Linked DNA regions of Lytechinus pictus. The protein of the gene in region 4 purifies or fractionates together with the protein of the main gene of each other region. This does not show direct contact. Links are inferred from orthologs where the notes say so. Each region holds a gene or a part of one and is shown on either strand. Other genes may lie near its edges.

Region 1 (7,472 bases), on a different chromosome or scaffold from region 4:
CCTACCTGGTTCCATGAAGCCTGCCAAGCAAGAATACATCTTTCCTGGGAAGCCCTTCTTCCTTCCTAATAAAATGCTCTTCCCATCCTCAGAAACTACAAGCATAATAACCACTGGGTCTAAGCGTGGGTAGCAAGTGTTATGAACTCCGTTAAGACTTCTACAACCTAGAACATTAAAACAAAACAAATAAAACCTCATTCTCATGTTTGACACTTGTAGGATAAGTGGTGTTACAGACTTCTTTACTGAGCTATAATAATTTAAAGGACAAGTCCACCCCAACAAAAAGTTGATTTGAATAAAAAGAGAAAAATCCATCAGGCATAATACTGAAAATTTTATCAAAATGGGATGTAAAATAAGAAAGTTACGATATTTTAAAATTTCAATAAATTTCACAAAATAGTGATATTCACATCCTTGTGGTATGCAAATGAGGAGACTGATGACATCACTCACTATTTCTTTTGTATTTTATTATATGAAAAATATGAAATATTCAATTTTTTTCTCTGTTGTTGTGTGAAACAATGATTAATTCCTCCCTGAACATGTGGAATAAGAATTGTTGAATACTATATGGTTCAATCAAGTTGGTCCATATTGTCAAATATGTAAAAAAATGAAATATTGTATTATTGAAACAATAAAAACAAAAGAAATAGTGAGGGACATCATCGACTGTCTCATTTGCATGTCACTTAATTGTGCATATCATTGTTTTGTGAAAAATAAGCGAAACTTTAAAATGTCATAACTTTCTTATTTTACATCCGATTTTGATGAAATTTTCAGCATAATGCTTGTTTGATTTTTCTCTATTTATTCAAATCAACATTTTCTGGGGTGGACTTGTCCTTTAATAACCTGCAATATGCAGATAAAGATGAATTGGACATTGAGAATATGAATATTCATGAAACAAGGGTCAGCCTATTATTGGCCAATGATTATGCTTTAACGCATGGAAAAAAAAGAGAGAGAGAGAGACAAGAAAGCCATGGGATGATGTGATCTAATCCTAAAAAGGAAATGCTTCTCTAGAGTCAATTACAAAGCATCAATATGATATTGACATAAAGCTTGTACACTAAATGGTAAAGTTTACAACCTATTTATCTAACCCAATTGGCCAACATGTAAAGATCAATATTAACCAACATGAAAGCAGGATGTTACCTTCTTTTGTGCAGACTCGTTTATATCCTGCCTCTGCCGTGGTAGTAGATGCACCACAGGTAGGGCAGAACTTGTATCTGTCATGCCATGCCAACATGGACCTCCCCTGACCGATGATACCAGCATCTGCTGGACTCAGAAGCATTAAAGCCATGCGATTCCTCTTGGGTAACATCTCTGCTTCAGGTTTGATCTTCTGCAGATCTTCTGAAGGAATATCGGTAACATCCACAGCAAACCAGGCACCTTCGGAGCTCTTCTCTTGCATGTCTCCATCCTTGTTCATTGGAAGGTGCAGTGGACCTACCCCTAGGAATATAATGGAAGCTTCCTCTTTCAAGGCAAAGGAGATTTCCTTATAGGAGTATGCAGCAAGATTGTACTGGAACATTCCATTGCTGTCCTCAGAAGGGATGATGTATGGATTCAAGTATCTGTACAGGATATAGGTAGTTGTGGGTGCTTGCATGGCATCCCTTATCCACTGTTTGTTGGTTCTTTGGTGGCTCTGGCGATCAAGTGGGTTGAGGCCAAAGAAGTTGACCAGGTCCTTGTTGGCAACTTCTTTGATCTGAGGATCACTCCTTAGTAGATTGATGACTTCAGTATGGTCCCAGAACTCAGCAATATCCAAAGAGTTCTGACCTGATTTGTTGGGTAGAAATGGATCACACCTGTGCAATAAGGGAACAGAAAAATGTAGGCCTACATGAATCACAAGAGCTACAATAATCACAAAGATCTAAAATCTAATCAGCATGACAAAATTGTTTTGAATAGAATCAAAGAGAAAGAACTAGAGGTCTATATCTTCCTATTGGTATTGTACATCATCATTAGTTGTCATTACCGGTACAATGAATTTTCTAAACTGCTTTTTTTTTTAAGTTATGAAATACAATCATTCTCATTCTTTTTTTTTTTACTTTGGATGTACCATTTTTAATGAAATCTAATGTATAACTATGCACCTGCAACACCATCATCATCAAGAAATTAAATGCAAACTTATCTCCTTGTTTAAAACTTAATTTTGATTATAGCTGTCTGCTCATTATTTATTGTAAACTTTGACATCAAAAGTATAAGGCATATCATCATCATCATCATCAACATCGTCACCATCATCATCAACATCATCCTTATCAATTTTCATCATCATCATCACCACCATCCTCCTCCTCATGATCATCTTCATACTTAGACCAAAAGCTTCGGTCTCTGTTATGTTGGTTGTTCAGCTGAACTCCGTTGGCTTCACTCACCAAATACAGAGACCGAAGTTCTAGCGCGATCTGTACAGGGGACTCAATGGCCATATGTTTATGTACTTAAGATCGGATAAAACGGGGAAGTGAATTTGCGCGACAGCAGTGGCGTAACAGGCGGGGGGGCAAGTTGCCCCCCCTGGCGGATTTCACCGGGAAAATAAAAGAAAAACGGGAAAAAGAAAAAAAAAGAGGGAGAAAGAAAGGGGAAGGAAAGGGGAAAAGGAAAGGAGGAAAAGGAAAGGGAAAAGAAAACGAAGAAAAAACTTTTTTTTAAATGGAAAAGGAAGGAAAGCGGGAAAATGTACGAAAGAAGAACATCTGAGAAAGAGCAAATCATTCCAAAATAGGCCTATGTAATGCAATAGCACAGTGGGAAATAAATCAAAAGATGACAAAATGGCAAACAATTGCGGGAAACGAAGGTAGAATGTAATTAGTCAAAAGCTAATGGACTGCATACAACATTGTGCTTTAAGCTTGCTAAATGCGGGGCTAAATTTTATGCAAATAAGCTACCGGGGCTTTGCCCCAGACCCCACGCAGTAGGGGCTCTTCATTTATAACCTTCAAATGGCTCTATAACGCCCCCCGTTCAATCACTGGCAGACAGGCGGGGGGGGGGGGGTCTTGGCTCCACACCCAAGAGGAAAGAAAATAAATTATATGAGACAACGTATAATGAAATGAATGGAAACAATAAAAGGTGTTATTTGCTGAATATAATGGAAAAATATATCACATAATTAGAATTTAATTTCAATAGGCATTTTTTCCAGCTCGCTTTGCACGCTGGCGACTTTTTACAAATTTTTCCCACATTGCAATGTTTTGCTCCCTCAAAATATTTGGTTCATTACGCAACTGGGTTGAATAAAATTTGTTGTGTAAAATTAAGCTATATTCTGTATATGCCCGCGATTTGATTAAAATAGCGGCAATCTGCGAGGTTTAAATGGCTTTGATATCAAGAAGTTCCGGGGGCTCCGCCCCGGACCCCAACCGCACAGCACAGCGTATGGAAGGGTTGGGCCAAGGAGATATCACTCTGTGATATCTCCTTGGTTGGGCCATGGCTTCAAAAAGTTCTACAAACAAGAACAACAAAAAAAGGAGGAAAGAAAAGCAAAGGAAAAGTGTACCTAGATATGATTTTATTTACTGAATAAAAAATAGCTCAAAGTTAGATTCTCAGGAAAAGGTGATTTTTTCTCGCTCGCTTCGCTCGCTCGGGACTTATATAAAGCAGCTTTTTAGCACATGTGTTATAATGCGCCCTTCCGTTTTTTTTTTTTACTCTTCACGCTACTGCCGCACAGAATCCTGTTCACAGTGGCGTACAGACCACAAAAAAAGGAATCTAAAGAGAGAAGAGTGAAATATATTATTCTCTGGATATCATGTCAAAATCTATCACAAAATTGGATTTTTGTATTAAAAAGGTCAAAAATTTTTGCTCGCTCGCTTCGCTCACTCGCAACTTTTTTTTAAAGATAAATTCTGCCTGATACGCAATATCTGGCCTTCTCAAAATAGTCGCCTCATTACACCATTGCACCTGTTCATACCATGATATGACCGGGAAATTTTTGGCTCTTGCCCCCCCTGGCCACCGACCCCTGTTACGCCGCTGCGCGACAGCCGAGGTAAGTCACTGTTTATGTTCCTTTTAACTTGATTTTTCTCCGTTTTTTGGCAATTAATGCCAAGAGGGAATATTAATTTGCATTTTGGTCGCGTTAATTTTCAAAATTTCTATTCATTAAAGACAAAAATTGAAGAGCCCCGACGGGGGGATTTTGCATTGCAAGTCCCCTAATGGTGGCTGCACGCTAGCGAGCCGTCTGTGTACGAGGAGAAAAAAAAAAAAAAAAAAGTTTAAAAACTCCTCGAAACAGACGGCTGCCAGCTGTCTACTTCATACTAACCCATTTTGTAACAGGATCTTGGCGACATCTACATGCCCGTTCCTGGCGGCCAACATCAGCGCTGTCCACCCTTGTTCATTGCGACTATCCAGCCCAAGTTTCCTCATTCCTTGCACCATTCGAGAAACATGGGCCGTTTCTCCAAGACTTGCACAGCGATGAAGTTCTGTCAATAGCTGGTCCCGAGGGGCTGTACTGATGGAGTCCATTCTTGTACCTCTGTTCTAAATCAGTAAATGTGATGTTGTTAAACAAATCTCAAGGACAAGGTTCGTGAATCAGCTGACACATGAAAAGACCCATAAAGTTAGACTTTCATGCAGTCGTTTATAAATGTGCGCTATGACTACTGTACAGTGTGTTGTACGTGTGCGAGCCAACAGTCGAGTGTCTTTGCTTGATTAAAAGTCAATAGACGGTAAACGCCTGTTCGGAACATCTGTTTCCATTGATTCTCAACGTGCATTCGATATTCGTGCACTCCCGAAATGTCTTCTCTGCAACTAAAGTTGGTCTCTCTTCTTGTTCAGGACCATTTTGGAGATGCTGTAGAGAAAGTTTGTTCACACATTCTGAAACATGGATCGAATAATTTTCGGAGTATAGTCTGTGCGACAAACGAAAAACCAGAACAGGTGAGGTAGTACATCATGGTCATGCCATGGATGATGATGGGTTTCTTTGACTTCGGTCCCACGTGTTAAGAATTTTGTTGGTAATAATTTGGATTCTGGACTAGGCCTCGGGGCACTCGAACTCGAAGAAGGGGGGGGGGGGCATGTTTGCCTAGCCTGGAGGCTTCTGGAGAGTAAAAGTCATCTACTATACGTAGGCTTACTTTCCATGAAGCCTGAGTCGGGATACCATTGCTCTACACACACCGTAGGTTTTCCCACGCGGTGAAAGAAACCACTCTGGGGCTACACCGCTATTCCAACGCGTGTTGGAAAAGTCGACGCCAGACGGGTACGTTTTGGCCTTGAATTTCCAGCAAATTAATCAAAATTACGGCCTAAATTTAGGTCTATGTTATCAATTATATACTAATTTCATAATTATAATGTAAAACGGGTACTCACGGGTTCTTTTCTTTCCAAATTTTGTGTTTTCATCGCCTCTTCTGGCCAACTCTTGCGATGGATTTTGTCGCCATAGGATCCTGTACGTGCAAATCCAGGGCGAGTTGTCACATGACGCTCGCGAGTCTCTAGGGGTAATGGCCTTTAATCAAGGCGTTCTTTTTGCTATAATTTTATAATGACGCTTAAATATCGAAATCAATGTAGACGAGTCTGTGCAGGGGCATAACAGGGGTATATAAGAGGGGGCATAGTACATGTCGCATGTGGAAGATAAAAGTTACGTAATGTAAGTCCCGAGCACTAGCGTACCTAGGGGGGGGGGCAGTCTGCCCCCCCCCCCCCGATGAGTCACAAACCCATGCAAATTACATATCTCTGCCCCCCGGCCCCCCTGACGAGCTTGAAAACCTATTTTGCCCCCCCCCCCCCGACGAGCTTGAATACCTATTTTGCCCCCCCCCTGGCGAGCTTGAAGACTTTTTTTTTGCTTGTCAAATTTTTTCTGGTACGATTGAAGACCTTTTTCATTGAAGAGCCTTTTTTTCCTTTTTTTTTTGCTTGTCAAATTTTTTGGCGGCCGATTTTGCCCCCCTGTGGAAAATCCTAGGTACGCCATGCACTGCCCGCGCTACATGTATGTTGGTAGCCCTGGGACCTCTGGATATTAACTAATCCAATTTAATTACAGATGGCAGATTTTTTTATTATCTGAGTAGCCCCCCCCCCGGATTATTTGTTCTCACATTACTTTCCTTTTTAAATTTCCTTTCGTTCTTTCTTTCATTTTTCTTTCTTTCTTCCTTCCGTTGCTCCTATGGTTTTTTTTCAGGTGAAATCCACTCGGGGGATGGCCAGCCATGCCCCCATCTGTTTATGCCTCTGAGATGTAGGCTATACTCATGATCTTAATCTTCGATTTTCCAAAGTAGGGGGGTGCAATTTCTCAAGTAAAATTTGACAACCCCCCCAAAAAGGTTATCACAGAAAAATTGTCATTTTGTCTCGCGTAAGATTTGACAAGTAAAAAGAAAAGATGGTTACTAAAAATAAAAGACTCATTTTGTCCGTGTAATATTTGGCAAGCCTCCCCCCCCCCAAGTTTAACATATCGGAGGCGCGATGGCTCAGTCGGTAGAGCAGGGGTTTCGGATTCCGGTGACCCGGGTTCGATTCCCAAGTGGTGCGCTAGTGCCCTGAAGGCTTATCCTCATTACCAGGTCCCTCGGAGAGGACCTTAAGCCGTTGGTCCCCTGGTTGCTTGCTCACAGGCATTCGTGCTTTTTTAGCAGTCAGGTAAAAAATCTCGATATAACATAACATTAAAAAAAAGTGAAGGTCATTTTGTCCTGCGTGAAATTTTAAAAGTAATAAAAAGATGGTCACTAAAATTGAAGTTCATTTTGTTTGTGAAATATTTGGCAAGCCCCCCTCCCAAAAAAAGGTTTTAACTAAAAATGATTGAAGGCCATTTTGTTCCTCTTAAAATTTGTCAAGTATAAAAAAAAAAATCACTAAAAAATGAAGGTCATTTGTCCCACGTAAAATTTGACAAGCCCCCCCCCCCTAAAAAAAATGAAAGGTAGCTGATAATGATTGAAGATCATTTTTTCTTGCATAACATTTTACAAAAAAAAGTGTGTCACTATTTGGCGAGCCCCCTACCCTCCAAAAAAAAGGTTTAATTAATAATGATCGAAGGTCATTTTGTCTCTCGTAAAATTTGACAAATAAAAAAAAAGTTGTCACTAAAAAAAGAAGGTCATCTTGTCGCGCGTTATATTTGGCAAGCCCCCACCCCCCTAAAAAAGTTTGTCATTAAATATAGAAAGTCATATGTTCAAAGTAAAATAAATTTGGGAAGCAAAAAAGAAAAGGACAAAAAAGAGCAAAGAATATGAACAAAATATCCCCATTACAAATATTGCTGTGATTCTCATAAGGAGGTGGGGGGGGGGGGACTTAACTTTGTACGAACGACATTTTTTTTTTACATCCAAAATATTGACTATGAA
Region 2 (6,997 bases), on a different chromosome or scaffold from region 4:
TTGTGGCCTGTTGAGTCATTTTTCTGTCTGACACTGGTTGCTTGCGTTGTGATAAAATCTGTAGGATCTGTGAATATAATGAAAAATATTATAAACTTTAGGAATTAGGGCAGAGTCAAAACGTTTAAACACTGTTCAAACTTCAAACGACTGTTAACAGCATTAACGTTAACCTATTTTGACAACCATTTAACCTGTATAGATCTAAGATTAGGGCCCAGGGGGAAAAAAACCTTCCCAAAAAGTTGCTGAAATGTCACATTTTACATCTTTATATGTACATTCAGGAAAAGGCTATATATTTTCCAAATTTACTTGAAATGAATATTCACCTCTTTCTTGACTCTGAAAGATCGTTTTATAATGTTACACTCTGTAAATATTCTAGTCCAACATTTAGACTTTCATTTAGACTTTCAACAGAGTGTAAAACAATAAAAAACAAACCAATCAAACGATCATTTTCATTTAATGTTGCAACACCACTGAAGTCTGCATGTGGGACTACAATATTGACTAAGTGTAACATCATAAAACAATTTTCCAAAGTCGATCGTCGAGAGAGGCTGAATATTCTTCATTTACTTGATAGTTTTCAACTAAATCAAAACGATTTTAAAGAAATCTTTAAAGTAGGTGGCCATTTCATGAATGCAAAATGTGAAATTTCAGCATCTTTTTGGGAAGGTTTTTTCCCCCCCTGGGCCCTACTAACGTTAGATCGATACAGATTAAACAGTTGTCAAAATAGGTAAATGTTTGACGGTCTTTTGAACAGCTTTTAAATGTTTTGACTCGGTCCTAATTCTTATGATTAGGCCTAATACATAATATAAGAAATTTTAAAACAATAGAATACATACATGACATAAGAAAACAAATTTTTTACTTTTTGAAAATTACATTTGAACACAACGTCACAAGTCAATGGCACAAAGAGAATCTAAAAAAAAAATTAATCCGCAGCTTGAGCTTTATTCTAATTAATTATCCAGAGTAAATCATACATATCATTATCATTCATTTAAAGAAAAGTTATCATTTTTTTTATATTGCTTCAAACCACTCTAGGCGACACCCCAATACTTACCCGTGCTAATAAACTGGGACTCCACTCACGCGCATTTGGGCCGCCCTAGCTTAGAACTAAGCAATATTATCTAGAAATTGTTACATTGTAGTCATTAAATATGTTCTATTAAATAAATTGATAATGTTTAATCGGTACTCACCGGTTCTTTTGTTGCATTTTCAGACCATTTCTCACAATTCTTCGTAAATATTTGCGGCAAATTTTGTCGCCATAGACAGCTTAGCATCCATCTTTATTGATAAATGGAGCGCCCTTTATGATAGTTGTTAATGCCGCGGAGAAATCGTTAGGCATTTTGGCCTGTGTTCAAGGCGTTCTTTCTGTTTTATTTTTTATATTGAAGATTGTGCATTTGTTGAATACCGCCGTCTACGTCAGGTATGAGATCGAGTGTATAAATACATCTTCCAAAATAATTATGATTCCGACCTGGCGCTGTTTAACTTCAATCTCTTTCACCTAAATTAGCGATGAATGCTAGCATTATAAAATATATATTATTAACGTCTGACAAAGAATAACCAACCGATCAGCTGACGAGAACGCGAATCACGTGATCTTCATATCAGCTTCGATCGCGAGTCAGAAGAGAAGAGCAGCTGCCCAGAAAATCAGGAAAAAGCCGTGAAAATGTAAGTTCCCCTTCATTTCTTTCATTTTTTTGTTGTTGCTAACGATGCATTTACACTATAAAATTATAATTTAAATAAGAGAAAGGAATATAGCTTGTACTTGTGATATATCCTGTTCTCAGAGATTTCTAACCAAAAATACTACTGATGTTGCCTATGAGGTCCATACATGTAATGTTGGACCTCATTGGTACTAGGAGTGCTTCAAACGCTGATTCTGTCATTCTTGATATCAGAATAATTTATCCTTTTGAAGTAAAATTGTAAAACAAGATGTTCACACACATTTTAATTTTTATTAACGAAAATGCATCCATGACCCATCATGCCCATGGCATGTGTTACTGCATGTCTTTATTCAACCAGACCTTGAGAGAAAATGGAAAGGTGTATAAACATGAAAATTTGCCCTTTTCATTTTAAATGCTTAAGAATGTCACTAGAACTAGAAGTAGAAGTTGAACTAGTACTAGTAGAAGAAGTAGAACCTACGAGTATGATATGAAGTCTAAATTTTACTAAATTTAGAGTTAGACACTAGGCAGAAAGTTGAGAACATCTACTCTAGCCTAGGCTTAGTAGGTTGAGATCTGACGCAATCTCAGTCAGTCACAGCCGTTTCCAAGACGATTAACTAGACTAGATCTATCACTAAAATATATCTCGCATTCAAGCATGTGCAAAAATGCCACATCCAGCTCAATTCGCAATGCCCACACAATACTCAATAGGCGCAGGCCTACTGACGAATGGCCAACGTACGTACAAATGCATGCCTATGGCTATATGGAGCCGGTCATGCCGGTTGTGAACGAACCAGTCATAACTGGATTGCACGGACGATTTTCGATGATAAAAATCAGTATGATACCTCATCAAATTCAAATAAAATATTAGTCGAATGAGACTTATGATGAAGACGCATGAATTATGAATCATAAATTTTCCTTAATGCTATGAGAAACTTGACTATAGAAATTATCTTACCTATTTTCCTTTCTTTAGCTGGCAATTGTCGCGCGCAAATTCAGTTCATTCATCACACGTGAGAATTTCAATTGCACGCGTACTATATACTGCGAATTGCTATCGAGCGAAGATAGCAATGTGAAAGTAGAACTAATTCAAGTCGCAAAATTAAATTTGAAGTACTCCGAGCTGCATGAAACCAAGAGTAAACTTTAGGAAAAAAATTGGGACTTTATACGGGACTTTATATCCGGGCTTTATATATCACGAAAGTAGAATGAGCAAAAGATCCTGCGCCCAGGACTGAACTTCATTTAACCTTATGGATGTATGTAGTAATTTTATACCTTCTGAACTTTGCTTGAATTCCCATGCCCTCAAAATAATGAAGGCCATTATGATTACATTCCATCATCTTGTCTTTTTAATTCTAATATATATTATTCAAGTTCATTCCCGGAGTTCATTTCATTGTACAATGCGTTGAGGAAACCGTCTAAAAAAAAACCTATTTTTTAAACAGCTGGTATCAAGTCATTGCCATTGGTCTAATAAGTCAGAAATATCGAGTCTAAAATAGGTACAATTTTGGGATAGTTATATATAAGTAAGAAACACAAAGACAAACTAATTATTCAAAATTCCTGAAATTAAACTACGAATATGAAGAAATCTGCGCACGCTCGTTCATGAAGGTTTCGACGCATGCGTATCATCTTGACCCGTCTGCTGAAATGGAAAATTTCCTTGAAACCATCCAAATCTTGATCCCTGACACTAGTACTGGCCGATACGGGGGGGGGGGGGGGGGGGGGGGGGGGCAATGGGTCGTGGCCCCCACCCTATTGGCGGCGAAAAAAAGGAAATGAGGGGGGGAGGAGAGGATATAAAAAAAGGAAAAATTAAAGGACGAAGACGAGTGAATAAAATAAGGTGAGGCCGAGAAGACTTGGAAAATAATTTCAAAAAATCTTGCATGTCACTATATGTAAAAATTTCACTCGCGTTTCGAACTCGCATTGTGAGAAAGTTGCTTCAGTCGTCTAAAACATTGTGCATTATAGAGGATAGTAAGCCAGGGTAATTATAATCAATAACTAAGACTTTAGAAGAAAAGGGAAACGGAGAAATGAGTATTTATATAAAAAATATAAGGATTAAACAGTCGAGATTCGTGCAATGAAAACTCATTTGCTCACTAGTTAGAGGTGAGTTGAGCATAAAAAATGGGATCATGATTATCGGGAAAAGCGGTTCCTTATGAAATCCTATAGGATTATAGAATCCTAGTATAGGCCTAATATAAACTTCTGAAAATGCGGAAATGGAACTATGATGCAAACGGTGAAACTGAAAAGGAAAATATTAAAGGAAATTTTTGAATAATAGTTGATATTGTATTGAGAGATGATGCAACATTCAACATTTGGAGCAAAATTCAACTTTGACATTTTAAATTATTAGACTGTTGCGTCAATTAATGTATGTGATTGGAATTATGCTAAAAAAAAAAAAAAAAAATTGTTAGGATATGTGGGAAATACCGCTGTCGTTACAAGGCTAGAGTGTTTCATTGTAACGGAAAAAAATTGATCAGTGTCATCAGTAACTTGTCGTAAAATAAACTTCAAGAATATGTTTATACACCTATATTTATTTTTACAAATTATCCCCCGCTTCCACAATGATGCCATGTGACCCCCCGCCAGTGTATTTAAGGAACGTTTTTATTGGTTTATATCAAAGTTGTTACTATATTTAAAAGTCATTTGAATGATTTAATTCATGCCTTGGATTTATTATAACCATATTCTTATGATAGCGGATAAAACCTTTGCAACAAGCTAAAAGTAAGGATTTGTTCATTATTTTGTTACGGCCAAATTCTTGTAGGAAAGGCGACCGCGTTAGAAATTTTGCGTTTTTTTAAATGCAAAAGTAGGCCGACTCCACTGCTACCATCCTGCCTGTGCCGCTGTGGGGAAATTACAGGTAGGACTATGGTATGCCAATGCTGTATTGAGCACACACTTTAAAAAAATCATTAAAATATCACTTTTGTGACCAAAATTATTAATTTCCATACAGTTGCAATTTAATTTTCATTAGTAACTTAGAATAATTTTTGTATTGACCAGAGCGCTCAAAAACTTGAATTTTGGGCATATTTTTGTGTACGCCCTCTATTGGTGGAAAGTAATATGGCAACAAAATTTACATTTTTCAAGCTCTATTTTTAATCAAGAAAAAAATAATTTAAAGAATCAAATTTGCTTAAGAGCCAAGTTATATACTGTAAAGCTGTAATGGAAACTGACAGTGCAAAAAAATCAAGCATTTGTCCAAAAGAAAAAGAGAAAATAAGCCAAACATTGTCAACCTTATGGACACTATTGGCTTCCCATAATTTTAGCACAGAGTTAGACCATGGTCTAAGTTAAACCTGACTCAGGCGCGTAGCCAGGGGGGGGGGGCGGTCGCCCCCCCAAAAAAAATGCTCCCAAAAAGAAAAAAAAAGAAGGGGAAAAGGAAAAAAAAAGAAAAAGCGAAAGGAGAAAAGGGAAGAAAAGTAAAGCTTCGTTGTTTTTTTCCTCTTTTTTTGTCAAGAGAATAAAAACCTGAACGAGACGTTCTTTTCTCTTTACAAAAAAACTTTCTTCCGCGCTCCGCGCAGGAAAAATATCAAAATTGCTATTCCCTTTTGTTTCCCACACCTTTTTTTCTACTCCGTTTTCCCCTTCCCGGCTGGGGGAATTGTATATTCTTGCCAGAAATTATAAAGTACATGGGCGAGTGTAAAGAGTATGCAAAGTATTTTTAATTGTTTTGCATTGACACAAAATTTCGGCTCATCTGTTCGGAGCGGGGAGACTTTTTCCGTCACTACCCGAATCCCCAAATGCTATTTCTACGCTTTTCAAGAAGTAATTTTTTGCAAAGTATCTGCTCAAAGGGGAGACGTTAAATTCATGCCGTGGTATATGCAAAAATAATTATGTACGATATTACACTTTATTCTGTATCGCTGTACATCCATTTCCTGTCTTGTTTTGCGCCATTGATTTGAAATTTTGAATATCACTGAAGTTTCTTGATCAAACAAAAGGAAGCGCTTAATATGAGCGAAATTACACAATGTTTTTTCTTCCAAAATAAATCACAGAGGTTTCCGTGATTCGCGAGCATGGGAAAGGAAAAGTCCCTTTTCTAACTTGCATCATTCCTTTCAAATTTTGAGCTCGTTTTTCTTCTTAATCGAGTTGTATATAATCTAAGAAATATCAAAATTAGAACAGGTTAAAGTTTCAGAGAAATTTCTATAATTCAGAGCTTCAACGCCATTCGCGGAAGGAATATAGGGCCTATTTTCTTCCTGCATATACCCGTTTTCTGTTTTGACTTGAGTTAACGAAATTTGATGTGGATAAAGTTTTCACAATCAAATCTGATGTGACCAAGATAGGCATAATTATGTATATGTATTATCACCATTGATTGTATTTAATTGTATATAATTGTATTGTTTGTTATCCAGGGCCTCATGGAAGATCAACTTTTGTTGAATGAGCTACCCTGGTGAAATATGAATAAATAAATAAATAAAAAAATAATAATTGTAACATTTCTGTTCTCTATTTTTATAAAACGTTTTAAGCTTCCGCGCTTCGCGCGGTAAGAGGAATTATTTCAAATTCTCCAATCTTTTCCAATTTTTGGGCGCTCATAATTTCTCTTTCGAAAACAATTTGTTTTTAATCACAGCAGGTCAATTGAATTCGAGTTGATAGGGTACTAGAGACGCAAGAGACGCCTTCAGTTTTCAACATTAACGCCTATCGGGAGCTCTGTAAGTGTTGGCACCGTAATATATAATAAGGTCTTTGGTTGGTACACTTCGCGTGCACTTACCGCCCCCTCAAAAATTCAATCCTGGCTACGCGGTTGACCTGACTTCAGAGTACGGGCCCATGTGGATAATTCTTTCACATTGGGTTTGGGTCTCATCTATCCAATGAAACTAAGAATTTTGACAGAATGTTACACTTGAGTGAGCACTGAGTTTTCTGTAAAGCTCGCAGAAATCGGTTTGGGCAGAAATGCTTATTTTCACGCTGTGTCAACAGGTCAAGGAAAACATATAGGCGAAAACAAACTGACTGTGCTGAACATTTTCTCATCATGTTTAGCCAATTGAAATAAACCAGATACATAACATTCTGTAACAACCTTGCCACCCAAATCAACATTTTAATCCTAGGTAAGCACAACCTTTACCTTTTTGTGCCAGCTGGATATGAGGACA
Region 3 (7,067 bases), on a different chromosome or scaffold from region 4:
AAAAAATAAAAACAGATTGATTTCAATTGTCTATTATCTCATTATTGTCTTGTTATTGTGGTCTCAATAAAATTGTTGATATTATTGTCTTTTCATCGTTTCATTATTGTCCCAATTATTATTATAATTATAATAATTATTATTATCATGATAATTATTTTTGTTTCATTAATATTATTTTCTAAATAATGATTACAATTATAATTACTATCATTATAGTAATATTTGATCATTAGAGTAATTATTGTTATAATTATTTCATAATAATAATCATTATTGAAATAATAATTATTATTGTCTCAATAATTATAAGGCCTTAAATTATAATTATGATTATTTTTATAATTACAATTATAATAATTTTTATAATAATAATCATTATTGATGACTTATCAATATTACTGTCTCAGTAATTATTACAAGTACAATTACTTTCATTATAATTGTTATCATTATAATTATTTTATGATAATTATTATTATTGTAATAATAGTTATTATTGTCTCAATAATTATAAGGCCTTTAATTAGAATTTTGATTATTTTTATAATCATAATATTTTTATAATAATAATTATTGATGACCTTTCAATATTACTGTCTCAGTAATTATTACAATTATAATTACTTTCATTATAATTGTTATCATTATAATCATTTTATAATAATTATAATTATTGTAATAATAGTTATTATTGTCTCAATAATTATAATTACTATAATCATAATTATTTCTACAATTATATTTATTTTAATTATAAATAAGTATTACTATTATAATGATTATTATTGATATCTCATTAATATTATTGTCTCAGTAATTATTACAATTCAAATTACATCATTATAATTGTTATCATTACAATTATTTTATTATAATAATGATTACTGTAATAATTATTATTGTCAATAAATACTAGAATTGATGTCTCATTAACATTGTCTCAATTATTACAATTATAATTATTATCATTATGATTATAATTGTTATCATTATAATCATAATAATTATTATTGTAATAATAATTATTATAATTGTCTCAATAAATTATTGTCTCATAATGTCTCATCATCTCTGTTGCCTCATTATTGTCTTCTCTTATTTTTTCATAATATCTTCAAAATAATATTTAACACCATAACAAAGGTCCATAAATCAGATATCAAATTCATGAAACTCATCTCATGTATCTAAACCTATTTCTAAATTAAATTCATGAAAGGAGCTTTCTGTGCCATTCAAAAATACGACTTTCATTAACAATACCATATTCTAGACATTCAGACGCATTGCAACAAAAAAATCACTTATCAAACAAAATTCTTGAAGTTTACTTGCAGTTTTGCTCTTAATACTTATTTCACACGAATTCTACAAAATTATTTTCAAAATAACAATTTGATTTTCATAATTAACAGAGCTCAAATCGTAATTAAAAAAAATATACAACGGCTGAAACATACCGTGTCTGAATACCAAGACTAATCTCAGGCCCAACGCAGTGGGGATGACGTCACTTACAGCTGTTCGTATACGCTCAAAACAACCCTGCTCGATCGGCCGAGTCAGATTCACAAACACCTCATGACACTCAAAACTGAAGCTCATATCCGCAGGCTCTCTACGGACCAAATTTAATTAGAATTTAACAAAATGTTCTCAAATATACAATTTTATTACTGACCGAGTTTACAAGAGATCCGATGATTACAAGAAGGTGATTTCAAGCAAAGAAAAATAAATACCTGAATATTAGGTCCTTCCCTCGCATGAAGGTAAGTGATACTCCATCTTATATATTTCCGATGTTTACCGAAGATGTACAAAGCAACCGCGGGAATTTTTGACCAATCACAATCAGCGGAATAAAGGAAGAAACTGACTCTGTCTTTTCGAGCAATGCCGAATGCAACTCCAGCGCTCGGCCAAAGTGTCGAGCGGAGCGAACTGTGTGTGTTAGATATGCGCTCGCCATTCACTGCAATGCAAAAATCTACGTCTAGCGCTGTGTCCGCGCAATCGCCCGCCTGGCTGAAGTGTCTAGGCCTAGCAATAATTAAATCAGATTTTTAATATTTAAAAAATCATAACTCTCTTAATATTTGGCCTAGAGTAATGGTTAATAATACCATTTTAAATGTTTTTTTCAGCCCTTTCCAATGAGCTAGGTTACAATGTAATTCCATGATTTTTATTTTTTTTGTCACATATATGGCAGTATGTCCAAACTTCGCGCGTGTCCATACTTCGCGGACGGTCATTATTTAAAAAACTAGCCAATATCCTTAAAATCTGACATCATCAACGTGAAAAGCGACCTAAAAGTACCCTATAGTGAAAATTTCTTTAGGATGAGTTCAGTATTCATGAAAATATTGGCAAAAGATCGGCAAATTTGCCACCGCTAGCGCCCGTTTTGAAGAAATCAACAAGCATCACGATATCACCATTTTGCAAGCAGAAATCATAAAAAATGTGAGTTAAATGTGGTACTAACCGATTCCATAGCATTTTGCCATCAATCTGATATAAATATTTCACTTTTTTAGCTTGATTTTTTGTTTAAATCTCCACAAAAGCTTTGGTGCGCGAAGTTAGGTCACACTTTTTCTGAACGGTTTTCCAGCACAGCCCGCATTCGCCGATCGGAATAGAATTTTGAGATCGCGATACCGGCGAAACCCCTTGACTAGACAGGAATAACCGTCGTTTCTGGGGATTTATTCAACAATTTCTGACATTTTACTGTAATCCCCATTTACCGACGGTAGGGTGTACGTGTGGGCTCGCATGTGTTCTCATTCCCTCCCTTTTGTCAATTCACAGTCCAAAGTTTGATGTAATTTTACACATCGAATTTACAATCTAAGGATGTATAAACAACAAACTTGTAAAATTTAATATTTTAATATTTAAATACTTTAAACGATATAGATGAAAAAGGCATGAAAAATATACTTTACCGATGTTTAATTGGGTTGAACACGATAAAAATGGTCAAAATGGCAGCCAAACTATAAAATATTTACAAACGAACGTCAACAATCACGAATGTGATATCGATATTGCTTTCGATATTATACGATCTGCTCCATATGCGATCGAAACCGAAGATAAACGATACTAGTTATACTAGTACTAGTACTAGTTATAATCGCGATATATCGATTCGAGACATTAAGTTTATAACGATAATGACGTCATTCAAGATGGCAACTTGCAAGAAAAACCGTCAGGTCAGGTGAAAATGTCTTAGATGACAGATTTCTCAATCATCCAGAGGATTTTTTTCAATAACTCCGGCCCAAGGTATGCAATTACTAAATTTATTCATATTTCCCTGATAATGGAAACCATGATGAAACTTTCAATTTTGCTTAAAAAACAGTTTTAAATCGCGATCTATAAAACGCTAGTTCACTATACGTTGGCTGTAGGTACGGGGCCCCATCCCCTTCAGTCTATGTATGGTGAGTGGAGCCAACGTAGTTCAGCGGAACAACCAAAATACAGAGACTGAAGCTTTTGGTCTACCCCTTGACCTACTTTACATTTTCGTCCATGATTTTATAGTTTACGATCTTGCCGTCAATGTGGTAACTATTTCTTGAATTGGTTTTGTATAAATTATGAATATTTTGTGAACAAAAATAAGCCTGATGAATATTTTTGAAAAGTGCGCGAAGTTTGGACACCCCATCATACCTATCTTAAAGACTTAGCATGTTATTGTTAAGGCTTAAGCATCCTCTTTTTTGGCAAATTGGCAATGTTTTTATTTTTATTTAAAATGCTCTTTTAGCACTTACATGTACATGCACTTTACATATTTAGTTGGATATTACAAAGATTTTGAAAAATATTATGTCCTTAAATCCTTGGTCCATTTCATGGTTGAGAAGGGACGTGACTTTATAAACAAGACATAGGGCCTAGGTAAATAAATACAAAGAAATTTCACCAATATAGCAAACGCAAAAGTCAACACATGGGACCAAAATGAAATAAATCCAAAGAGAACTTACGCCACTCATCCGTTTGCTTCATTCTTACAGGCATGCGGCATCCTTCAACCACCAGATCTTCCTGAAAAGAAAATTAGAGTTGCGATTATAAGTTCAAATAAATAGGGCACAATAAAAATTTAAAAGAATTAATAAAAACGAGCAAAACTCACAGTTTTTATCGATGAATCATTATTTTCCGCCATTTTGTTTGTGTGTTTTCTCTCAAAATTACTCCACTGCCGACGGCTTGTCCAAAAAAATTTTCTTGTCCAACTCCAAGAAAGAAGCACAGATAAAGTAAAATGAGTGCAGGAGAAAAGAAGGAATCACCAGATGCTATGAATCTAGAGGAGAGGTATGAGCCGTATCATATATGCATTTTAGATCGATTTTTTTTTCTAATTTTGCATTATATGTTTAAATTTTTGTTTTTTTCTAGCCAAAAAGGTCGTGCTTCACTTCAGTCCCACCTGATGTCTGTTTTGTTTGCTCTGGTTTTGGAAGTTTGTAGTTGTAATATAGTCACGTATTGTATTAATACCGGACACTATTATGATTCCGGACGCGCATATTACTGCGTTCTAAAACAAATTCGTACCGTAAAACTTCCGCAATTCAATTTCACAGAGCAATACATAGAACAAGATTGCAAAAACAAGGCGAAAAATCCAACTTTTACCTAATTATCTCTCAAAATGACAGAAAATGCTTAAAAGTTAAAATATCATATTATAACATAGTTTTGTATTAACAATTGATGTATTTTCTAACGGAAATATGGGCCTGATTTGCCGAATTTCAATCTCGTCCACTCCTTCGATCGAATGATGAGGTGTGGTGTATTGTGGGTGATCGTCGATGGCTAGTTCTCAAGGTACCCGTGCGCGAGGTTTACCGTGAGTAGAGCCGTCGATCGGCAGCGCATCGATAGAACTTGATGAGCGTCACGATATGATACGAACGCGAGCATATTATTATTGGAAAGTGCCATGGAACATGCAGCTAACAAGACAAAATAAAATAAGTTATCAAACACGAATTTATTACCAACATCTGCTCAGATTCGATATAAAAAAGCAAATAATACTTAGAATTTACTCATGATATGATATAAGAAGAAAAAAATCACACAAATTTGCTCTTACATCATTATAATCAAGGATATCTTTACCCGTCCGGCGCGCGTCCGGAATCATGATGTAATTTGTCGCGCACGAAAATAATTGTTTTTCATGGAGGGGTATGCGGCAACTGCGATGCAAAGAAAATGGTTGGTAAATATAATTATAAAATAATTTTATCATATTCATAATTTTCATAATATTTGGAATAGCAAGTGTGATTTTTTCTTGATTGTATTTCCTCTAGTTGTCATTTTTAAAGCACTGAAATAAAGGTGTCCGGCAATAGGATACACTGCCATACAGCTAGTATTGCTATTTTCAATTTCACATTCATATAAAAATTAAAACATATTGGCCCGTATTCTGAAGTCGGGTTTAACTTAAACTCAGGTTTTAAGTTGTGGTTTAAGTATGGTAAGCCAATGGTTACATAAATCACTATTAACAGTAGAGATATCATATTTCAGCTCATTTGGCTCTCAAATCATTCATAATCCTGATAATTGTCTAGGAAGTATAAAATTAAAATTGATTGTCTTCATCATCGATGAATCAGGAAAGAGCACAGTAAACATACAAAACATACAACTTAATAAACATTTTGACACTTTTGGCTTCCCATAATTTTAGCACAGAGTTAGACCGTCCATGGTCTAAGTTAAACCTGACTTCAGAATACGGGCCATTAGATTTTTGGAAAAGTACCGGTAGTCATAATGTTCTTTTGATATGAAGGAAACGGACACGAAAACTTAAACTTTTGTTGTCACTTGTTTTTTTTGTTGCTATTTATGAATTTTGCCCTTTTCTGTGTAAAAAAATGTTGGACTGGAGTCCAGTCCTGGAGGCTGGACCTGGAATCTGGATTGTGAAAGTTGCATTGCAGTTGCAATGAAATTATCTAAATTATAAGACCACTTCTAGTACCAATGAGGTCAAAAGTGACTCAAAACGTAACCTATTGACCTCATAGTCAACAATCGTACATATATGGGGAGGTGCACTTGTAGAAAGTCGCCTCCCGTGGCAGTACACAAATGCATGACGACTAGTTTTTTTTTTCGTTTAGATATGAACTTCCTTGAGTGAAATTATTATTGTTTATTGCAATTTAGATATTACAAATTATATCTAAGGTAAAACTTTTTATTAAATATCTGTGGATTTTGTACAATGGTACTTGAAAGTCTTACTACGCTGGCAGCTTTTTTCAACCTTTTTTTAGGTCCCAAAGACTCCCACTCACTGCCTCCTACTAGTCCTAGAGTGTATAAGACTAGAATAAAATACAGTCAGTGTCACTTAATCTCTCTCTTTTAGTCCAGGCAGATAATTTGGCATTATTTGATTTGAAGGCTTATTTATTTTGCTGTCAATACCTGACATAGTCACTTTTTTATAAATGTGAATTTGAAACAGTTGATTTTCCATTATTTTGAATTTACATTGTATCTCAAGACATTATGGTCTATCTCATCAACAGTAACCAATTAATTTGAACTTTTGTAATCTGTTTTCTTGTTCAAATTACAGAATCCTGGAACTATGTAAAGGAGAATCAGATGGTATTCGAGATTCGGCTATTCAGAAGCAACTTCCAAACATTGATGCTCAACAGAGAGTATCGGCTGTCAACAGACTTCTTTCATCAGTGAGTTTCTTTTTTCACCCCCCCTCCCCCGCGAAGGTGGTTGTCAGAGGCATTCATTATATTTTGGAGTCATTGTGTTGCTAATCTGAGAATATATTCTCAGTTAAGCAACACAATGACTCCAAAAGGTATACCTTCAAAGGTATACCTTCAAAATAAATATGAAAAACATAATTTTGATTCAGTAATTCCTATTTGTTTACAATTCAGAGCATATTTGATGAAGAAATCTAATTTGCATCCTTTTCTTTTATCTAGGGTAAAATAGACTTGGTGAAGACAAGC
Region 4 (7,309 bases):
AACAGTTCTATGCATTTCTTCATGAATATTCAATGAGCAATCTGATGTCATATTTCATTTATTATATGAAATTAGGTTTATTCAATTTTGTTTATCCAAGAACTAAAAAAATTTGGATTGACAACTGATCTGCATTAGATATTCATTTAGCTGCAACTTATTTCATTATTTTTTGAGAGACATACTCATTCACACATGATTTCATGTAATAACAAAGAAAAAAGTGGGGATCAGGGGATGTGACATCAGCCCACTTAATGAATATTCATGACATACAACTGTTTGCTAAATAAAAATTTAAAATGCAATATAACTTTGTTATCAGATTTTGATGAAATTTTCAGCATTTTGCTCTGTGAATTTTTACTCTATTTATTTTATGAATATTTTCAACCCAGAGTACCCTTTAATGTGAGGCATGCACATCCCTGTCAAAAATAATTTGAGTGCCGCAGATAATCGAATGTCGAGAAAAAGGGCAATGTGTACTTTGGGTATCTACCCAGTTGTGTGTCCCGACAGTTCGTGTGTCCAGACAATCGATTTTAAACAGCCATTTGGAAAAGTTCTATCAATTTTTAGCATAAGCTGTTGTAGGTCAAGTCCACCCCAGATAAATGTTAATTTTATTTTTGAATCAATAGAGAAAAATCGAGCAAGAATAAACGCTGAAAATATCATCAAAATCGGATGTAAAATATTAAGATATGATATTTTAAAGTTTTGCTTATTTTTCTCAAAACAGTGCACAACTCAGTGATATGCAAATGAGTTGATGATGTCCATCACTCACTATTTCTCTTGTTTTTTGTTTCAATTACACAATTATTATATTCTACTTTTTACAGAATTGACAATGTAAAACTTGACTGAACCACATGTTAAACAATGTTAAAGGTCCAGTCCACCCCAGAAAAATGTTAATTTGAATAAATAGAGAAAAATCAATCTAGCAGAACTGAAAATTTCATCAAAATTGGATGTAAAATAAGAAAGTTATGGCATTTTAAAGTTTCGCTTATTTTTTCACAAAACAGTGATATGCACAACTCAGTGACATGCAAATGAGAGTCAATGACGTCACTCACTCACTATTTCTTTTGTTTTTTATTGTTTGAATTATACAATATTTCATTTTTTACAGATTTGACAATGAGGACCAACTTAATTGACTGAACCAAATAGTATTAAACAATCCTAATTCCACATGTTCAGGAGGAATTAATCGTTGTTTCACTTGACAATGAGGAGAAAATTAGAATATTTCATATTTCATATAATAAAATACAAAAGAAATAGTGAGTGGATGACATCATCAGTCTCCTCATTTGCATACTGACCAGGATGTGCATATACTGAGTAACTGTTTTGTGAAATTAAGCGAAACTTTAAAATGTCATAACTTTCTTATTTTACACCCGATTTTGATGAAATTTTCAGTGTTATGTTAGTTGGATTTTTCTCTTTTTATTCAAATTAACTTTTTGTTGGGGTGGACTTGTCCTTTAATAAAGGGGTTAATGCAACATGTTCAGGGAGGAATAAAACTTTGTTTCAAAGGATAATATGGAGAAAATCAGACCATGTCAAATGTCACGTAAAAGAATACAAAAGAAATAGTAAGTGGGTAACGTCATCTGTCCCCTCATTTGCATACCGACCAGGATAACTGGTGTGAAATCAAGCAAAATTTGAATTTTAAAAATGTCATAACTTTCTTTTTACATCTGATTTGATGAATTTTTTAGTGTTATTCTCTGTTAGATTCTTCTTAATAATAATAATAATTAACATCATTTATATAGCGCTTATCACAAAGAATGTCTCTAAGCGCTTAAGGAAAATACATAGGAAGACAAGAAATTTCAGCTAAAAACAAATTATACATGTTAACAGTTGAAAGTAGACAGTTGAAGCAGCATATGCTTTTTGTTGGGGTGGACTTGCCCTTTTTAAGGCATTAAGCAATATTAGTTACAGAGTCAGAGCAAAACTGAGTGAAGTTGATTGATTTCATATTTTTTGTGTAGACCCCTAATCCAAAAAGGCTTCAAAAATATAAAGTGTCCAGACACCCGACCCCCCCATCCTAAGTAGGATGGGGGGTTGGGTGTCCGGACACGTAACAGAAATGAAGCCTTGTTTTTATCTCAGGAATAAACCAAAAATATAGGTTGAATAGTTTTTTTTCACCATCAATATTTGTTCTTTATAATATTTTCTTATATTCTGTGCTAAAAAGAATTAAAGACATTGCTTGTAAACTTTTCAAAATTGAGAGTAAAAGTCATGTGTCCGGACACCCAACCCGTCCGGACACACAACCACTGGGCATACAAGATAGACCTTCTAAAATGGTTTGATCCAGAATTTAAATTCAAATTTCATGTTCGGTCTTTTTCAAGTTACTTTCACTGTTGAAAATTCTAGTATTATTCATGAAATAATATGGTTTTATTAATAGGCCTAGGCCTAATTAATTTATATAGGGCCTAGGCCCCTATATTAAGGCATTTTTTTATGTTTGTAAACTTGAATTGAATTTGTGAACAAAACAGATTTCCAATAGGCCTATGGATAAATAAAGACGAACTTGAACTCTCTCACTTCTCTGCCCAACATTCCAAAACTTCAGACAGCGCAGTCATGCATTTCACACTCACACAGTCTTTCTGACACACAGACCACAGTCACAGATCTGCAGATCATTCCTACGAAGTTCAATCAAGTCTCCCAGACATGCCAGAAAACATCATCAAATCATTGAATTCACATCCAAAAAACAAAAAAATGAAGCAGCATATTATTTACAGTAGTTTCTATAATCTCAAAACAAACTAATTCGTATCAATTTTCTTTTCTTTTTAGTAAAAATATGAAACAAATTTAAGGAGACAAAGAGGCTCACCTGCTCGTGCCGATATCGAACTCTGAAATGAAGTTCCAATGATGCGCCTTATTTAAAGAGCCGAAAAAGAAAGCTGTTCATTGGCTGATCATCATAACAATATTCATGAGGGCAATTTGCATAAGATTTGTGATTTTAGAACAAACTAATCAGTTACATATTAGTAGAATTATTCGTTAAAATAGCTATATAATATTTTAAAAGTACATATTATTGAGTTAGATGCAAGGAAATAGAATTCCAACTAAGTTTTCATACCGATTTTTGAAATTTAAAGGTTCGTGCATAATTAATTTGCATATCGATAATCATGATCGATATCATTCAGATTACATGCGCAAACAAGAAAGGAAAAAAGGAAGAGCCAGAGTCTAGACGTGTCTTTTTTCAGGCATTCCTAAAGTTAGTGTTAGATTTGTGAGGTAAATTTTTATTTAAACACACAGAAGAAAATTCAAACGATTTAATAATTTTGATTATACGATTTTGAGTAGTATGAGAGAGCGAGTATCATTATAAAATGTCTGACTCATGCTGGCAAGACCGAGGGCGAGGCGACGTCTGAGATGAGGCCGCCTTGAGTTTCGGGGGACTTTTCATTCAATTCGCGCTAGGATGCCTGTTGCCAGAGCTAGCTAGTGCTGAGTGTCACTGTCAGTAGCCAGCGCGCGACATTGATTGTTCAGAATCAGAGTCAGACTTTTACTAGAGATTGCTAAAATTAAGTAATAAGTAACCATAAAAATATGGGAAAGAGTTCCTGTTTTGTGACAGCTACCCAAATCAACTAGATCTAACGTTTGTTAGATCTAGACTTTGACTAGCCAATTGACCATATAATTTGATGAAAAACTAAAATTAAAAAGGACTATTTTTTTATTGGATTGATTGGACTGGATGAGGTTGACTTAATAATTTTGAGGGAAGAGCCCGAGGCCAAGAAAAAATGGGGCATGCCGATGACGCGTGACGTGCACAGGAATGTTCTTGGTTATTGTAAAAGAAATTGAATATATATTTAGACTATATAGTCTAGTCACGTATTACCTGACACTATTATGATTATGATTCCTGACGTGCATTATTACTGCGTACGAAAGCAATTTTGTACTGCAAGACTTCTGCAGTTCAATTTCACAGAACAATACATAGAAGAACAAGATTGCAAAAACAAGGCTAAAAATGAGAGAAAATGCTTAAAATATTATATAACAATCGATATATTTTCTGACAGAAATATGGGCCTGATTTGTAGAATTTCAATCTCTTCCGCTCCTTCGATCGAATGTTGTGTATTGTGGGTGATCGTCGACGGCTGAAATTCTCAAGGTACCTGTGTCCGGCAATAGGATACACTGCCATACGTAGTCTAGATCTATAACTTTATAAGGAGTCTATTTTTGGGGGGGGTGGTGTTTGTCACATTCTCACACTTTCTCTTGCTCTGTCCATATCCCGGCCTCTAATCACTTGATCGGTCTATTTCTCTTGTGCTCCTTTGTTATGCCTGTCACTGTCGGGAGAGGAGTTTGAGAAATTAATTTTGCTCACTGAAATGCAACAAATTGATCAGAAATGAAGGAGAGAATCCTTATCTAGCTGGGACCTTCGGCAAGCGAGTCCTTGATCTGCCTTCACAATGTACCTGCCAAGAAGGTTTTGACGGCTTGGGCGTTCATAACACATTTATAGGGAGATTATAATACTTTTTTCACTAAATGGCGTAATTTTTTTCTAGAAGTTCTAGCGTTGATATCAGCTAGGTAGAGCTACAGCACAGTCTTATCAGTCTTATGAGGCTATTAAAATTACCCCAAGAGGTCGATTGCACACAAATTTTCACACTTTTTTCCATTGTGTGTGTGTGCATTGTTTAGGCGTTGGTGTGGCCTGATACGCTGGCGGATCCAGGAATGGGCACAGCCGGCCCGTGCCCCCCATTTTGAGAGGCACGATTAAAATTTGTAATGTAAAAATACTGTTAATGATAAATAATCCAACCCAAATAAAAACTTGTTTTTATAAGGAAAAGAAAAATCAGACTAGTTGATATGTGACAGTTTGAACAATATTGGACAAACAACAAGAAAGTTATGAATTTTTAAATGTTGTAAATATTGGTAATCACTATACCCATGGAGACTTCAAATTGGCCTCATATGGGATGTCATAGTGATGTAAGGCAAGGACTACTCTTCCATGTACTCCAATACATATTATGGCTAAAATGTTGTTTTTCCCAAAAGTTTTATTTCAAATTTAATTTTTATTTCATGAGGACATAAAACAATATACTACCTGGGTTATATTTAGATTACTGCCCCAGGGGAATGGGTACTTAGGAGAAAACCACAAATCCCTGATAATAAAGTGCATGGCCTATGGGAAAGTTGTCCTTGCCCCTTGTCATAATTTACTTACTCAGTTGCCAATTTGAAATCTACATAGTATTAGTGATCTCAATTTTAAAGCAGCTATAACTTTCTTATTGCTTGTCCGATTTCTTTCAAACTTTCACCATTCTGTTTAATTTATTTTCTCCTTCCCAACACAAAATTTTATGGCCAAGGCTGGATTCCCCTTTAATACAAATGTTTCTAAGCGTTGCATACTATTACCCTGGCTTTAGCACGGCTATCCCGATCAGACGCTTGAGCATTCAAGGAATTCCTTCCTACCGGGTACCCATTAACTACACCTGGGTGGAGAGTGGCAAATGTAGATAAACGCTTTGCCAAAGGATGCGAGTGCTGCAGTGGAGTTTGAACCTCGGACCTTGTGGTTCAAAGTCCAGAGACTTATCCACTGAGCCACAACACCTCTACCTCTGTTAAAATACAAGTGTGCCCCCCCCCATTTTGAAAGTGAAGACCTTTAAAAAAGAATTTGTGGACGAAATGCCCTAAATTTTTGGTTGAAAACTTTTTGCTTTTTTTATTTTACAAGAACTTTAAGGTCAAGCATGCACCAAGTTCCACATTTTTTTCTATTGCGTATGTGTGTGTTGTTACTTAATGCATTGATATGGCCTGTTATTTTGTGAATTGTGTCATGGAGTGCTATTCTGTAGCCTCAAGGTCGTACATGTACGTGCACGTTCGGCAGCATACGAGCTCCATCCAGCTATTGATCACGATGGGGACACAACGCTAATAAAAAAAAGCTATGTGACTGACAGTGATTTGTAATGACTGTCATACGAGATTATACTCATGCCAATAGTTCTTGCCCTAGCTGTTTGATTGTGTAGTGTACCAGGCTAATGGAATAAAACCATTGTATGTATGACAGCTATTTTTCGATAACTAACATCTGTCGCATAAGTCTTGTGAGTACTTCGGATTTATACTTGATAATTGGGGTTTGTTTTGATCAACAGACATAGAGGGCAGCAACATTTGTTGTGCTTATCACTCTTTCTTGAAAATGAAACATTTTACATTTATAACTTTTGTATTTTACATCTGATATGCATTTTATAGTGATGAATATGTATGCTTGTTTGCCTTTAATTCAAGTATCCCAACAGCTGGTGTACACACTTGAGACAAAGGCCATTCATAAAGATGGACCCTAGGGATGAAGGGCAGGAGAGTTTTCAAGAAGGGGCCTACATGATATCAGAAGTGGATATCAAAAGACAGAAGCAAGAACGTCATTATACCATGCTGAGTCAGCTACAGGACATGGCTCGGCAGATTCCTATGTGAGTACAGTACTACAGTCTGTCTTGGTCAACCTTCTAGAAGTTAAAGCAATTTTTAGATCATAATTTACAAAGCAAGGTGTATTTTACATATCTACAAGTTGAATTTGCCTTACAAGTCAAACAGATTTCTCTTTGTTCCAATAAATTGTGCTGAAATAAAGATGCTAATTCAATTTGTGAAATTAAAATATTGAAATAAAAGGAAGCATATTTCAGAATTTTCAGAAATAATGAGCTTTTCAATCAATCTATGAGATGTAATATCACTAATGGCAATTCTAGTATATGAATTATGATTCCTAGATGCTTAACCGGAAAAAAGAATAATTATAGTGAGTTGTAACTCTGAGGATGGATTTTCATCTAGACACATTGATGATTCATATTTACAATTGATTTGATATTTTGTTACAGGGCCTTCCCTGAGTTGAGGCATTTTCTCAGACAATAGAAAATGCAAAACATGTGTTATTAAAGTCCCAAGAGATCAACTTAAATGCAGATTTTACTTTATTTGAATGGATCATGGATACATAATTCAGGTATGCACTAATTGTTTCTATAAACAGGAATTTTCAGCAGCGGCTACCCTACACAACCATATCTAACCTAGCTTTATCTCTGCTGGATGGAACTGTCTTTGAGATTGTCCAACATCTCTCTGAGATACAACAGATGATGGAGAGAAAACT

The links.
Region 1: the proteins of importin subunit alpha-1-like (region 4) and DNA-directed RNA polymerase III subunit RPC3-like purify together in Homo sapiens (co-immunoprecipitation; 3 studies listed by BioGRID and IntAct, with this or other methods). This does not show direct contact. The link is inferred for Lytechinus pictus from reciprocal best matches to the Homo sapiens genes KPNA2 and POLR3C.
Region 2: the proteins of importin subunit alpha-1-like (region 4) and GTP-binding nuclear protein Ran-like purify together in Homo sapiens (affinity purification with mass spectrometry; 3 studies listed by BioGRID and IntAct, with this or other methods). This does not show direct contact. The link is inferred for Lytechinus pictus from reciprocal best matches to the Homo sapiens genes KPNA2 and RAN.
Region 3: the proteins of importin subunit alpha-1-like (region 4) and DNA-directed RNA polymerase III subunit RPC6-like purify together in Homo sapiens (co-immunoprecipitation; 3 studies listed by BioGRID and IntAct, with this or other methods). This does not show direct contact. The link is inferred for Lytechinus pictus from reciprocal best matches to the Homo sapiens genes KPNA2 and POLR3F.

What each region holds. Positions count from the first base shown.
Region 1 is NC_087249.1:23,388,676-23,396,147, forward strand, and holds the start of DNA-directed RNA polymerase III subunit RPC3-like, read left to right. Parts: upstream 1-4,587; 5' UTR 4,588-4,866; coding exon 4,867-5,013; exon of another isoform or gene 5,014-5,073; intron 5,074-7,472. Other genes in the region: NAD-capped RNA hydrolase NUDT12-like, read right to left, coding at 6-167, 1,183-1,856, 4,379-4,587. UniProt on the Homo sapiens protein: DNA-dependent RNA polymerase catalyzes the transcription of DNA into RNA using the four ribonucleoside triphosphates as substrates.
Region 2 is NC_087246.1:34,163,428-34,170,424, forward strand, and holds the start of GTP-binding nuclear protein Ran-like, read right to left. Parts: upstream 3,027-6,997; 5' UTR 2,713-3,026; intron 2,491-2,712; exon of another isoform or gene 2,218-2,490; intron 68-2,217; 5' UTR 20-67; coding exon 1-19. UniProt on the Homo sapiens protein: GTPase involved in nucleocytoplasmic transport, participating both to the import and the export from the nucleus of proteins and RNAs. Switches between a cytoplasmic GDP- and a nuclear GTP-bound state by nucleotide exchange and GTP hydrolysis.
Region 3 is NC_087251.1:35,559,995-35,567,061, reverse strand, and holds the start of DNA-directed RNA polymerase III subunit RPC6-like, read left to right. Parts: upstream 1-4,086; 5' UTR 4,087-4,177; coding exon of another isoform or gene 4,178-4,210; 5' UTR 4,211-4,309; coding exon 4,310-4,362; exon of another isoform or gene 4,363-4,497; intron 4,498-6,664; coding exon 6,665-6,782; intron 6,783-7,040; coding exon 7,041-7,067. Other genes in the region: histone acetyltransferase KAT5-like, read right to left, coding at 4,026-4,086, 4,178-4,210. UniProt on the Homo sapiens protein: DNA-dependent RNA polymerase catalyzes the transcription of DNA into RNA using the four ribonucleoside triphosphates as substrates.
Region 4 is NC_087248.1:5,553,317-5,560,625, forward strand, and holds the start of importin subunit alpha-1-like, read right to left. Parts: upstream 3,010-7,309; 5' UTR 2,909-3,009; intron 1-2,908. Other genes in the region: protein DGCR6-like, read left to right, coding at 6,475-6,614, 7,187-7,309.